Drosophila melanogaster: one gene and its partner. The gene in region 1 interacts genetically with each later gene. Each region holds a gene or a part of one and is shown on either strand. Other genes may lie near its edges.

The links. Genes that interact genetically often act in the same process or in processes that back each other up.
Region 2: of Ptp52F (region 1) and TER94, changing one suppresses a phenotype caused by changing the other (phenotypic suppression), as found in Drosophila melanogaster (one study listed by BioGRID).

The regions. Positions count from the first base shown.
Region 1 is NT_033778.4:16,172,264-16,180,196, reverse strand, and holds the start of Ptp52F (protein tyrosine phosphatase 52F), read left to right. Parts: upstream 1-1,889; 5' UTR 1,890-2,025; intron 2,026-3,522; 5' UTR 3,523-3,543; coding exon 3,544-3,676; intron 3,677-3,828; coding exon 3,829-3,964; intron 3,965-4,025; coding exon 4,026-4,138; intron 4,139-4,198; coding exon 4,199-4,711; intron 4,712-4,775; coding exon 4,776-4,928; intron 4,929-4,993; coding exon 4,994-5,281; intron 5,282-5,345; coding exon 5,346-5,656; intron 5,657-5,730; coding exon 5,731-5,899; intron 5,900-5,966; coding exon 5,967-6,089; intron 6,090-6,154; coding exon 6,155-6,472; intron 6,473-6,545; coding exon 6,546-6,887; intron 6,888-6,956; coding exon 6,957-7,560; intron 7,561-7,619; coding exon 7,620-7,819; intron 7,820-7,880; coding exon 7,881-7,933.
Region 2 is NT_033778.4:9,988,389-9,994,070, forward strand, and holds TER94 (transitional endoplasmic reticulum 94), read left to right. Parts: upstream 1-1,814; 5' UTR 1,815-1,909; coding exon 1,910-2,001; intron 2,002-2,082; coding exon 2,083-2,185; intron 2,186-2,271; coding exon 2,272-4,308; intron 4,309-4,374; coding exon 4,375-4,529; intron 4,530-4,595; coding exon 4,596-4,689; 3' UTR 4,690-5,171; downstream 5,172-5,682.

The DNA of each region.
Region 1 (7,933 bases):
CTTTCTCTTCCTCTCACTCCCCCTTTCGTTTGAATTCGCTTGCTTATTCTCTCTCTCCCGCTCTGGCAAACAGACCTTGCACTTGCCTTTGCTTGTTTATTTGCGTGTTTCATTGATTAGCACACACTCACACACGCGCCGGCGAGCAAATGCAATTGCAATTTCAAGTGCAAAAAGAGAGAGGAAAAAGGAAAACAATAGCCAAAAAAGCTTTGAACTCCAGCTTTAACCCCACGACGGGCATCGAATGCAGGGACTAACCGTTAAGTGCCGAGACTTTTTGCTTTGCCTTTCTTTAACCCACTGCTGGAAACGTGCAAAAAGCTCGTCACTAGATAATAGAAACAATTTGCAGTGTCAGGAGCGCTTTCCACACATTCTGGGAAATCGCAACGGGTCTTGAATATCTAAAAGAATGCCGCAGCAAAAAAGCCCAAAACGGAAAACTGTAAAAAAAAAACAAAAACAACTACACAAGCACAACGAAGAAAATAAAACGAGATTTCTTGTGCATTGGCAGAACTGGTTTGCCCAGTAATAGGTGTTGTTGGCCTATGGGGGAACGGGAAGTACATATATGCAAGGAATCGGCCAGTTCGGGGACTCGACTTGGCTAAAAATCGATCAATTCTACTTTTGGCGAGGGGGAGGACTCCAAACATGCGCGAAAATCCACAGACATCGTCACTCGCACACACACACACACTCGCGCACGCACACCAACGCACTCGATGTGTCATCGCTTTCTGGTGGTTGTAAATAAAATGTAATCATAGTTCGTTTCTCCACTTATTTACTGATCGTCTTTTTGTTCAACACACTACTTTTTTTGTGCATAATTTGCATAACTCTTTCGCTTGTTTTTTCATTCTCTTTTCAATAACAAACACAATAACAACAACAGTTTGAACGAAAATACTGTTACGACGGCCATCTTGGATAGAGAGAGGGGGCCAAGAGAAAGAAATGTCCCAAAGGCAATATGCATAATGGGGAAAAAGGACAAATATCCAAGCGCACATATAGTATATTATATTTTCCGACTCCAACCGACATGCTTGGTACATAATGCGCGAACTAACACTTTGCCATTGGCAGTTTTGTACATATGACGTTTTTTTTTCTTCATTTCTCCCAATAGCCCATTACACGGGTTGGTTGCGAAAAATCCATTTTGCTTGGGTGTTCTATTTACAACGCGGCGACTCGGTGTTTGTTCTTATTATGCAGCGAACGTTACTTACAACAATTTAGTATTTCATATATTTATAATTACGCTTATTTATTTATGTTTAATCGAAATATACGAAAAGAATTACGCAGAAAAGTGACGAGCGGACGAAAATGCTTCGATTAGTGTGACCGCAGTGGAAGCAGCTCAAAAAACATCACGGGACTATCGATGACAGCGATTAGCTATCGATGTGACTAGGAATGTAGAAAAATGTTAATAAAAATATGTATAATAACTTCTAAATACTTTTTATATCTTATATAAGACCTAAGGACTGAAACCATTGAGTAAAGAACGAGTTGCCATAACTTAAGCCCTACTTCCATGCAAGCGCAGTGTGAACAGCTTAAAAAATTGGCGCGCTATTTAAAATGCTGATAAGGAAATGGACCTTCGTCAGCTTTTTTTTTGCGGAACCACAACGCCTATCCGTGAGTGAACAAAATGGGTTTCCAATTATTTATGCCATATAAGTATTGCTATTTATTTATAACACATCCCAATTCGATAGTCAACACTGCAGTTTGCTAATTGTAAACCGACTTTGTTGTTATCTTACACACACATTCGCGATGGGAGTAAACTTTCCTTATCACCGCTCACACAGCGCCAGAACACAACACAACCGATTTATGGAGTGCTCCCTTTGGCGCTCAGTATTCGAGAATCGCTCAGCGGAAACGGTTATTAGTTTACTGATTTTCGGGCGACACACACACATTCGTTATTCATAGTTGGTGCGCCCAAATATTCGCGAAACAGCAACAACAATTAGCAACCATCTGTCACCTGTGAGTGCAGCGTATCGTACACAATCTCAATCGCTCATTGGGAAAATTGCCGAATAATGTAAATCATTTGCCAAATTTGGGCACTCGTTGTGTGTTATCAGTGTTTGAGATTTAATCAGCCATTTTGTACGCATTACATTATATCGATATAGCCGCTATATCAGCCAATTCTATGGCTCTATAGATATATGTTAAATATGATTCAGTTTAGCAATGCTTGCTAATCCTGCGGTAGCCGATCCTCTTGGCCACATTAGCGTTTAACTGGCGAAATCGAAAGCCATTTATGAGCCAGCACCGTATGGCTGTTATCAGACCGACAACTCTGATGATTATATGCCGATGATAAAGGCCGCTTGTTCGTTTGTAAACGTTAAATTGTTATTATTGGCTTACTTGGTGTTTTGGAAAACCTCGGCGCGCTGCGATTTGTTTAAACAATCGGGCACAGACATTGGCAAATTGTCAACGTTCCATTGCCACACTTTCTGATAACCAAACCCATTAATAATGATCGGAAAGTGTCATTTTTTTTATTTGCTCCAAAGAAGAGCTGTCTTCTTCGCTTGCTTCCGTTGCCGGCAGCGACAACTGAAATTAGTAATTAGTGCTGCCAATTTGAGGGTACGGAATTCTTTCGATTAGCAAGCTCTTCGATGACGCACTCAGCATATCGGCAATATAGTCTATATATCTATATCTATATATCTATTGCTATACCCATTCCATTTGCGACTGCGTGATGGGATTGCAAACAGAGCCGCGATTCGAATTCGAGGATCGTCGTCGGCGATTCTCTGCGATTTTAGCGAATCTGTCGTTAATTTTGTTCGATTATTATTGGGTTGTCCAACAAGCCAGATTACTATCTGTATCTATATCTGCTGGCCACTTCTCCAGCCTGTGAAGTGGCTTGATAAGATTCTAGGGATCCAAAAAATCCAACAAAAAATTCAGAGAATATTGCGACATGACATTGCTGGAGTTTCCAACTTCATTCTCATGAATTTCCGCCGCATTAAAAGGCTTTGGGTGTAAGCCACGACATTGAGATAACCCCCTTTTTATTTTTTTTTTTTGGTATCTCGACCATTTCGTTTATTTTTTTACATTTTCCACTTACGTGTGGTATTTGTGAAATGATCATAAATCGCTCGCTGGAAGTTGTATGTATTACATTTAATTTTTGTTGCGCTGGTCAGCAACTCGGGGAGATCCAGAATCGTTTCCCACATCGCGAGATATGCAAAAGTTCGGCGGCCACTAATTGTTTATGACCAATCACCTTTCGTTTGCCCACGTCCAGTGAACTCTTATTTGTTGTGTTTTGTGTTTATAAACAAATGAACAGTGTGCATGCGAGCCAAGTGCTTTGCAATTGGGCGAGGTTAATGCTTCGCGGAAAATCCCGCGCAGGAACCGGTTGCATTAGCTCCCCGCCGATAACAATTTGTTATTAATAATTAATAACGCATCATTACTCACCGCAAAAAGCAGCAGAAGCAATGAGGCCCTAAGATGGAAGCCACAAATTGGAAGCAATCGCATCGAAGGATTCACGCACTAATCCTTATCCTTTGGATCGCTGGGGTGCAAGGACAAACCGTTGGTTCCCTGGTGGCAGTGAGTGAGAGCCAGGAACTGGCGGAGAGTAAGTATTACTCTTTGAAAAATAAGCATATGGATGTCACTGATAATATGATATTAATATAAGATACACTGATATAAGATACTTTTCAAATCCTAAGTGCATCCAGTTTTGTTTTAGCCTATAAAAAGCTATATGTATTACCAATATTCCAGAGGTGGAGGTGACTGTGGTTTCTACGGTCTACACACTCGGCTTTAGCATCTCCAACGAGGCGGACTACTCCATCGATAAGGTGATCTGTCGCAATGGATCCGGATCGGAAACCGAGGCCAACGCAGCGCACGTTTGGTTCGTAGAATGTTTTGAGTGAAATGATATCGCGGACTAACATAATGCCTATGATTTCCAGTGAAAACCTTAATCCTTGCACCTTCTACACATCGGTGGTTTCATTCCGTTCGAATGTCTCCGGCAAACCACCGCCTTCTGACCAAACCATCTATGCCTACACTGAATATAAGCGTATGTTTATATAAAAATGCTAACTATGAAAACCATAAACCATATCATCTTTAATCGCAGAGCCCAAGACCACAGTGACCTCAGTGGTGGCCACAGCGAACACCATCAAAGTGACCTGGCAGACGAACGACCGCGCCTGTGTGGAGTCCTTTGGCATCACGGCAAAGGCGACGGACTACACCAAATCCTTTCAGCTGCTAAACGATAAAAGTTCTCAGACTTTCGTGAATTTAAGCGCCTGCCTAACGCACACGATCACCCTGGACACGCGAAACAACGCTAGCGTTGTGGTGGACACGGATGCCACCGATGTGGACACACAGTACGCGGAGCCCGGCGATCTCGTCATGAACGTAACGAACCTAGCCAGTGGCATCACGATGATCACGTGGGGAGATCCCTCCGAGAAGAACTGCATCAGTAACTATGTCTTCAAGTGGCAACGCAACGATTGCGGAACGGATCAAAATCAGGATACCACCACGGATGTGCCCAGTACGGAAACTACGAACGAGATTGACTACGTTACCACCACACCAATGGAGACCACACCCGATACGCCCAGTGATGAAGGTAGACTCTAGGTTCCTCTTATAACCTCTTTTGAAATACATATGTGTTTTATTCTTCCCATCAGTTAAGTGCGAGTGGACCGATGTCTCCTCCGATGGCAAGCTGAGGGAGTACCTCCTGACCGATCTTCAAGGATGTGATTTGTACACCTTTCAGGTTTTCATCAACGAGAACAGCACGGCCAAGGCTTCTCAGACTTTTACTTCGGCAGAAAAGTGTGAGTGCAACTAGATAGACCAGCTATCCAAGTAAACCATAAATCACCATAATTCAAATGTTTAGTGGTCAGTGCCGTCTATGAACCCAGTCCCACCGCCTATCCCACCCAGTTGCATTGGACTTGGTTCTCTCCACAAAATCATCCCAAATGTGTGGCTAACTATAGTGTAACGCTGACCGGACCCATTCAACGATCGGAAAACAAAACTATGAATGTGATCACAGAGGAGACATTCGCTATCTTCGACGACCTTGATCCGTGTGGAATATATTTGGTGGAGATTGTGCCCAATCAGCTAAATGGAAGCGCTGGCACCAAGTACCAGGAGCAGAGCACCGTGGGCGAGGATCGTGAGTGCAAGTGCGCTTCAACTCATCCAACATCTATCTATCTACTATGATTATCTTCTTGTAGAGCCATCTGTGATTCAAGATCCCGTCGTGGAAGCAGAAGCCTACTCGATGGAGGTGAGCTGGAAGACGCCCGAGTACGCCGATCTCTGCATCGATGGCTACCGATTGTCCGGCTGGATGGAGGACGATAAGCTGGTTGAGGTTGAAGCACTTAGTATTACCACCCAGAATACGACGGTTGTTTTCGACAAGAATCTGCTGGCCTGTCAGGTGTACATCATTCAGATAATCCCATACACCAAGGAGAACCTCGATGGTCAGCTGAGACAGGTTGGTGTGGAGACCAAAGCAGCTATAGTTGATTACACTAAGGTACTAAGGACTATTTTACGTATATTTCGTATCCATTTGACCATTTCTTACTGACTGCAAGCATTTTATTGAAGGTCAAGCTGGAAATGAAGAATGCTGGCTCCGAATTTATTGATTTAATCGCCTTCAATGCGGACTACAACAATTCCTGTCCGACGATCTTTGCGCTCTTCACGTGCAATGCCACCACCCAGGTGCGAAATCCATACGCGGAGCGTTATGTGGAGGGACATAGCAAACAAGGTGGGTGTACTGGTCATCCAGTCATTCGGTATCCAGATGGCTATTCTAATTCATATTCCATTCTCAGGTTTTAATGCCAGTCTAAGTCCACTTTCCCCCTACGCCACCTACGTTTGCAAAGTAATACTCTACAATGTGGCAGGACCTTCCGAACCAGTTGTCGATGCTGATATGCACACCACAACCTACTGTAAGACCTACATTATATACATATGTATATATGAAGTTCATATGTAAGTTGATCTGTGTTTTCAGTTCCCGAGCAGCCGGAGAGTGTGATGCTGGAGAAGAGCACTGTCAGCAGCCTGCTGTTCAACTGGCAACCGCCCACCTACACAAACGGACCCATCAAGTACTACCAGGCATTCCTGATGCGTCACGAGGCCAGCTACTTTGTGCCCGCGGATTGCGCGATAGTCGAGCAGGACACCAAGTCGGAGACCAAGGGTGATCCTAGTGTAAACTTCACGGGTCTGGCTCCAGCTGTGCGATACATGATGCAAGTTGCGGCACAAAATGACTTCGGAATGGGCGTCTATACAGAACCCGTAATTGGTATCACTTTGCCAGCAGGTGAGTTAAGATGAATAGATGGAATATCTTTATATGAGTAATATGAGTAATGTAAATATTTCGTATCTTGTAGTATCCGATAGCGTGACCCAGTTGACCGTACTAACCCAGGGTCCGGTGAACAATAACGCCGTGTACGAAGCGAACGTGACTATCACGTGGAAGGTGCCCTGCAAGTCCAATGGCGATATCGAGTATTTCCAGCTGGCTTTCAATGGCACACGAAATAACTTCGCTCCAGTTTCATTTGAACGGCGGGTGGAACTGGACACGGGGAATAAGCAGGGACGGATGTCCTACACGGAAACGGAAATGCAGCCACAGTTCGACTATACGGTTGAGGTGTCCGTAAAGAATCGCGATGTGGAACAGTTGAGCAGCAGTGTACCGGGTAGCTGGCAATCGCCAGCGGGACGTAAGTATCGAAATAACGGAAAAGTAATCCGTAATCCATTGATTCCCATTCGTGTATCTTCTCTTTCAGTGCCCACCATTCCGAGTGATGAGCTTATCAAGCAAATGCGCGCCAATGTCGAGGAGACATCTAATCCAACGAAAACGGCCATTGTTCGCCTTCCAGCCGACATCATGACATCCGCATCCGGCGACATCAAGTGGATGGCACTGATGATCTCGCAAAAGAACTGTGCTGGAGTTCCACACCTCAAATACGATGTCAGCAGCGATTGGCCAAAGGTTCTATCCTATCAAGAGGCCGGCGCAGATGGCACAGGTGACTGCAGTCTGGAGTACCAAACCACCGAGGAGCGCTGGCATCCCGAACCCGTTCAACGTCAGCGAAGGGATGGAGAGGTGACATCCGATGAGGAAATTGTTTTTACCATCGGATTGGACAAGTGTTCGGAGGTTCAGAAAACGTATTGCAATGGACCTTTGTTACCAGACACGGATTACAATGTTGTGGTGAGACTGTTCACCGCATCTGGTTATAGCGATGCCGCCGTACTCAACTTTAAGACCAAGGCGGCCATCAAGGTGACCCTGATCCTGGTGAGCGTTTGCAGTTGCCTGCTGCTGGCCTTCGTACTTGGTTTGACGGTTCTCTGGGTGCGCAAGCGATTGGCCTGGTAAGTCAACGATGGCAATCTTCACGAGAGAAAAAAGAACTTAACTTCGTTTGGTGCAGGAAACGTGATTCTGGTCAGGGTATCGAGGATCCATTTGGCAATGTCATTGCCAAGAACTTTGCCATCTTTTATACCGAAGTTGCCAAGCCGGAGAAACTGGCCAGGGAGTTCAAGGAGATCACCGTTGTGGCCTTGGAGCTCAGCTATTCCGCCTCCGAATTGGGTTGCCACAAGAATCGCTATGCGGACATATTTCCTTGTGAGTAACTTCAATGTAGCAATAACCATTATGGGAAACCACATTTTTTCCCATTTAATAGATGACAAGAATCGCGTGATTCTGGACATCGATGCGGAGGGATCGGACTACATC
Region 2 (5,682 bases), 6.2 Mb from region 1:
CCCGCTCTTCGCTGCTTCCTGCGCCGCGGAAGGCGACGGCCATCTTTATCAGCCACCCCGACTCCCCACTCCTCTTCATCGTCACCCTCATCGTCACAAAAACTGGTTTCCGCTCGCCACTTTCTTTTGCTCTCTGCGCAGGCGCTCTTCGAAGACAAGAGACTTGCAGGCGATTGGTTGAATTCGTTCTGCGTTTCTATGGAGTTTGCTCCCATTCTTTTGGGGGCAGCGACCACGCCCAATGACGCTGCTCTCCTCTCTGCCGACGTCGCTGTCACTCTCTTAAGTACTAAAAAATAAAACTGAAAGTAAAGCTAAATAAAACGCTGCCATAATTGGCATCGTTAATGCCAAAACCATGAATACTAAAAAGTTTTTACGAGCATAAGCTGCGATTGAGCAGTTATTGTAGGGACAGGTTGATGGCCGAGTGTTCTAGGGAAATGAATGAATGAAGATTTTTTCTTACTACCAAAACTTCTACAACTAAGTGAAATAGACGGATTGAGTTCTACATACTTCCTACATATATTTTAGATATAGACATAGCCGAAAAGTATGCTGCACTTTTTCAATAAAAACGTAAGCAGCTACGTTATCACGCATGGCTTCATAGCAGCGATCATCTGCCAGCGAGCATAGCCAAGTTAGGCACCTGCACACATTGCCACTCTTTCCTTTAGCGTTGCCACTTCAATTTCTTTTACAAACCATCGCAGCGTGTAATCGATATTTTCTAAGCCCAATCGATGAATGTCCGGTAACGCACATCACCAATCTGTTTCTGCTGCCTCATCTTTGAATTTGACTAAAAGTGCCGATTTCCAGCTCAACGAATAGTCCAAGTCGCGCCGAATTGTACAATTAAGTTAAAAAGTTCAACGTCAACTAGTTTATCATGGCAGATTCCAAGGGGTAAGTGAACTGGACGCCGAAATAGGCGCCGACTGTGTCGGTCCAAGTCGAAATTCACAAATTTCGCTCAGTCATTGAGCCGAAAAAAATACGCAAGGGCCACATCGCAGACATACTATTATTTAATTGTGAAAGGCTTTCGCCGATTTCCGCGAGACAAAGACATTTACCGCGACTTTTCCACTGCTCGGTTGCAAAATGTTGCGAAACTAGGGCAAACCTAAAAACCGAAGAAAAAAAAACGCCAGCGAGAATCGCCATTTGCAGTACGTTGTTGTTGTTGTTGGTGTTACTGCCCTTGCAGTTGTTGTTGCCGCTTGAAAACTTACGATTTCCCTTTGTTGTCCCAAAAATACAAGTCATCCTTTGCTGGAGGATACAATTTTCCGGTTGTTGTAGTTATAACTTTGGATACGAAAAACAATACTGCATACATATATGGCAGCTATTTCTATAATAAATCGCGAAAATCCTAAACTATATGCCGAAACCACTTATTTCAATGCTACCTATTAGTAATACCTTTTTTGATATTGCATTAATTCTAGAAAAGTCTTTGTGCTCCCTCAACTCGCCAGAAGTAAAAAAAAACATATCGTTTAAGTAACAATAAATGCATAATTTACCTCAAAGTTTAGAAATTATTATAACAAATGGCGCCAAAAAAGTTGGCATCGAATACAAGAAATACAAACATACTTTTATAACTAAAGACAATAAACAATTGTACTATTATTCCGATTAATATAGATTTTTATGAACGATATAGGGTGATAACCTTTTATGTTCAAAAATCTATCAATAAAGATTGATCGACATCATCACGTTAGCAACGAAAAATGATTCGGCAGGCCTAATTATCCAGATGCTTAGTTCCATTCCGTATTACTAGTGAAAGTAGTTTCCATAAATTTATCAAAACTAACAAAAAAGGCAATCCAAAAAAACAAAAAAAAAAACAAAAAAAACAATGTCTGGCGGCAAGAACGATAAGATGGATCATGATGGGGATACGAGGGACTTTATGCGGGGATATCACAGCGAGCAGGATGAGAAAATGAAGCCGAAAGACTCGTTCGATAAGCGGTTAGGCCAAATTATATATAAGACATAAGATATTTCTTTAGCGACGAGTCTTACGCGATGCTTTTTTCTTCTACCCTACAGTGAAGATCTGGCTACGGCGATCCTGAAGCGCAAGGACCGTCCCAACCGACTGATTGTGGAAGAGGCGCAGAATGACGACAACTCTGTGGTGTCGCTATCGCAGGTAAGATTCACTCTCCCAAAGGCCACGTCATCGCATGGCTAATTCACATGACTTGGCTGTTCTTTTTCCCCCTTAAACTATATCAGGCGAAGATGGATGAGCTGCAGCTCTTCCGTGGCGACACCGTGATTCTGAAGGGCAAGCGCCGAAAGGAGACGGTGTGCATCGTGCTCTCGGACGACACCTGTCCCGACGAGAAGATCCGCATGAACCGCGTGGTGCGCAACAACCTGTGCGTCCATCTTTCAGATGTGGTTTCCGTGCAGTCCTGCCCGGACGTCAAGTACGGCAAACGGGTGCGCATCCTGCCCATCGACGAAAGCACCGAAGGCGTTACCGGCAACCTGTTCGAGATCTATCTGAAGCCGTACTTCCTAGAGGCCTATCGGCCAATCCACATGGGCGACAACTTTATTGTGCGCGCCGCCATGCGTCCTATTGAGTTCAAGGTGGTGCTGACCGACCCGGAGCCCTACTGCATCGTAGCTCCCGAGACGGTAATCTTCTGCGACGGTGATCCAATTAAGCGCGAGGAGGAGGAGGAGTCCCTAAACGCCGTTGGCTACGATGATATCGGTGGTTGCCGCAAGCAGCTGGCCCAGATCAAGGAGATGGTTGAGTTGCCTTTGCGGCATCCATCGCTCTTCAAGGCCATTGGTGTGAAGCCACCGCGTGGTATTCTTATGTACGGTCCCCCGGGTACCGGTAAGACCCTGATTGCCAGGGCTGTGGCCAACGAGACCGGAGCCTTTTTCTTCCTGATTAACGGACCGGAGATCATGTCCAAACTGGCCGGAGAGTCGGAATCGAATCTGCGCAAGGCCTTCGAGGAAGCCGAGAAAAACTCGCCGGCTATCATCTTCATCGATGAGATCGACGCTATTGCCCCCAAGCGTGACAAGACCCACGGTGAGGTGGAGCGTCGCATTGTGTCGCAGCTTTTGACCCTGATGGATGGCATGAAGAAGAGCTCCCATCTGATCGTTATGGCTGCTACCAACAGGCCCAACTCCATTGACCCGGCCCTGCGTCGCTTTGGACGTTTTGATCGTGAGATTGACATCGGCATTCCAGATGCCACTGGACGGCTGGAGGTGCTGCGCATTCACACCAAGAACATGAAGCTGCATGATGATGTTGACCTGGAGCAGATTGCTGCCGAATCCCACGGACATGTGGGCGCTGATCTGGCTTCACTCTGCTCTGAGGCTGCCCTTCAGCAAATCCGTGAGAAGATGGACCTCATCGATTTGGAAGACGATAAGATCGATGCCGAGGTGCTGGCGTCGCTGGCCGTGACAATGGAGAACTTCCGCTACGCTATGACCAAGTCCAGTCCATCGGCGCTGCGTGAAACTGTTGTTGAGGTGCCCAACACCACCTGGACAGACATCGGAGGTCTGGAGAGCGTCAAGAAGGAATTGCAGGAGCTGGTGCAATACCCAGTGGAGCATCCGGACAAGTTCTTGAAGTTTGGCATGCAGCCCAGTCGCGGTGTCCTTTTCTACGGACCCCCTGGTTGCGGTAAGACGCTGCTGGCCAAGGCCATTGCCAACGAGTGCCAGGCGAACTTCATCTCAGTCAAGGGTCCCGAACTGCTGACCATGTGGTTCGGCGAGTCTGAGGCCAACGTGCGCGACATCTTCGATAAGGCCCGCTCGGCGGCTCCTTGTGTGCTCTTCTTCGACGAGCTGGACTCGATCGCCAAAGCCCGTGGCGGTAATGTCGGCGATGCTGGCGGCGCCGCTGATCGTGTGATCAATCAGATCCTTACCGAAATGGATGGCATGGGAGCCAAGAAGAATGTGTTCATCATCGGAGCCACCAATCGCCCGGACATTATCGATCCGGCCATCCTCCGTCCGGGCCGTCTGGATCAGTTGATCTATATTCCGCTGCCCGACGACAAATCGCGTGAGGCTATCCTGAAGGCTAACTTGCGCAAGTCGCCGCTGGCCAAGGAAGTAGACCTTACCTACATCGCCAAGGTGACGCAGGGCTTCTCTGGCGCCGATCTGACCGAGATCTGCCAGCGGGCTTGCAAGCTGGCCATCCGACAGGCCATCGAGGCTGAAATTCGTCGCGAGAAGGAGCGCGCCGAAAATCAGAACTCCGCGATGGACGTAAGTCATTTAGCTTAGCGCAAAAAATAAGAATGTTTATGTTTGACTATTTACCCATATAATCAGATGGACGAGGACGATCCAGTGCCGGAGATTACTAGCGCCCACTTCGAGGAGGCCATGAAGTTCGCTCGCCGTTCGGTGTCCGATAATGACATCAGGAAGTACGAGATGTTTGCCCAGACTTTGCAGCAGTCCCGTGGATTCGGACAGAACTTCAGGTGAGAATTGAAAGGCATTTCTTGTTGGAATCCAGGTTACTGATGATAGTGTATATGTTATTGCAGATTCCCCGGTCAAACCGGCAACACCTCAGGATCTGGTAACAACTTGCCAGTTAACTCGCCCGGCGACAACGGCGACGATGATCTTTACAGTTAGATTTCTAGTTTTACACCGCAAAACAAAACCACAAAATGGAACTTTTTAAATGAATTTTTTCCGTAAAACCGAGCAAGCAAAACCAATCACATTCGCATCCTGGACGCGGTAACTTACTACAGCAACCATTGGCTAAGACATCCAGCCGATGGCGAAATCAGATGACATACCCGATTCAATATTCACTTCTTTGATACCATCCTTACTCTTGGTCGCGGATACGTGCAGTAGGAGAAGGTTCCCATTTGGATTTGGGCTCGCCTAATCCGAAACCATTTTAATTGGCGAACTATTCCGCGCCTCACACTAATCATTCGTGCATTGTCGGTAGAGTGGCTCCGATATATGAGTTTCTATAAACATAATTATTAACGATACACATACACACATACATTTAAAGATAAATACATATATTAAACACCGTAAAATTATAAGTGTATTTGGAGCTACATTTTTAAGTGAATAAAAATTATAAATTCAACAAAATCATGTGCTTTAAATTGAAGAAATATTGAAAAATAGACGCAACGAGGTAATTGGGTGTTGAGATTAAAGAGCAAGAGTTACATAATCAATTATTTATTTTTGATAAGGTTCACTAGCAAAGTGGAACGTTGCTTTATTTTAACTGATCATTGGCCACAGTGCAATAAAATGCGTAATAAATTAAATTGGTCGGTACTCGTATGAGTGCAGTGAAAAAATATGTCTTCGTGCCTCGATTTCTGCAAGTCCAATTTAGTCATCAAGAGTACTAACCAAATCCATACTGTTCCCATTTGAAAATATCATTTCATTTGTTTTATCGCATTTATTAAACTTGTATTAATTCGTCATGTTTGCTTTTTCTGGTTTTCAATTGTTTTTTCACTTTTATTTTTATTAATTCTTTGCGACATAACAAGGACATCTTAATATGAAGTTAGTTGAATTCTTTCATATTTAAATAATCATTATCGCTTCGGTCTTATAAATAAACTTTCTTTGCCATTC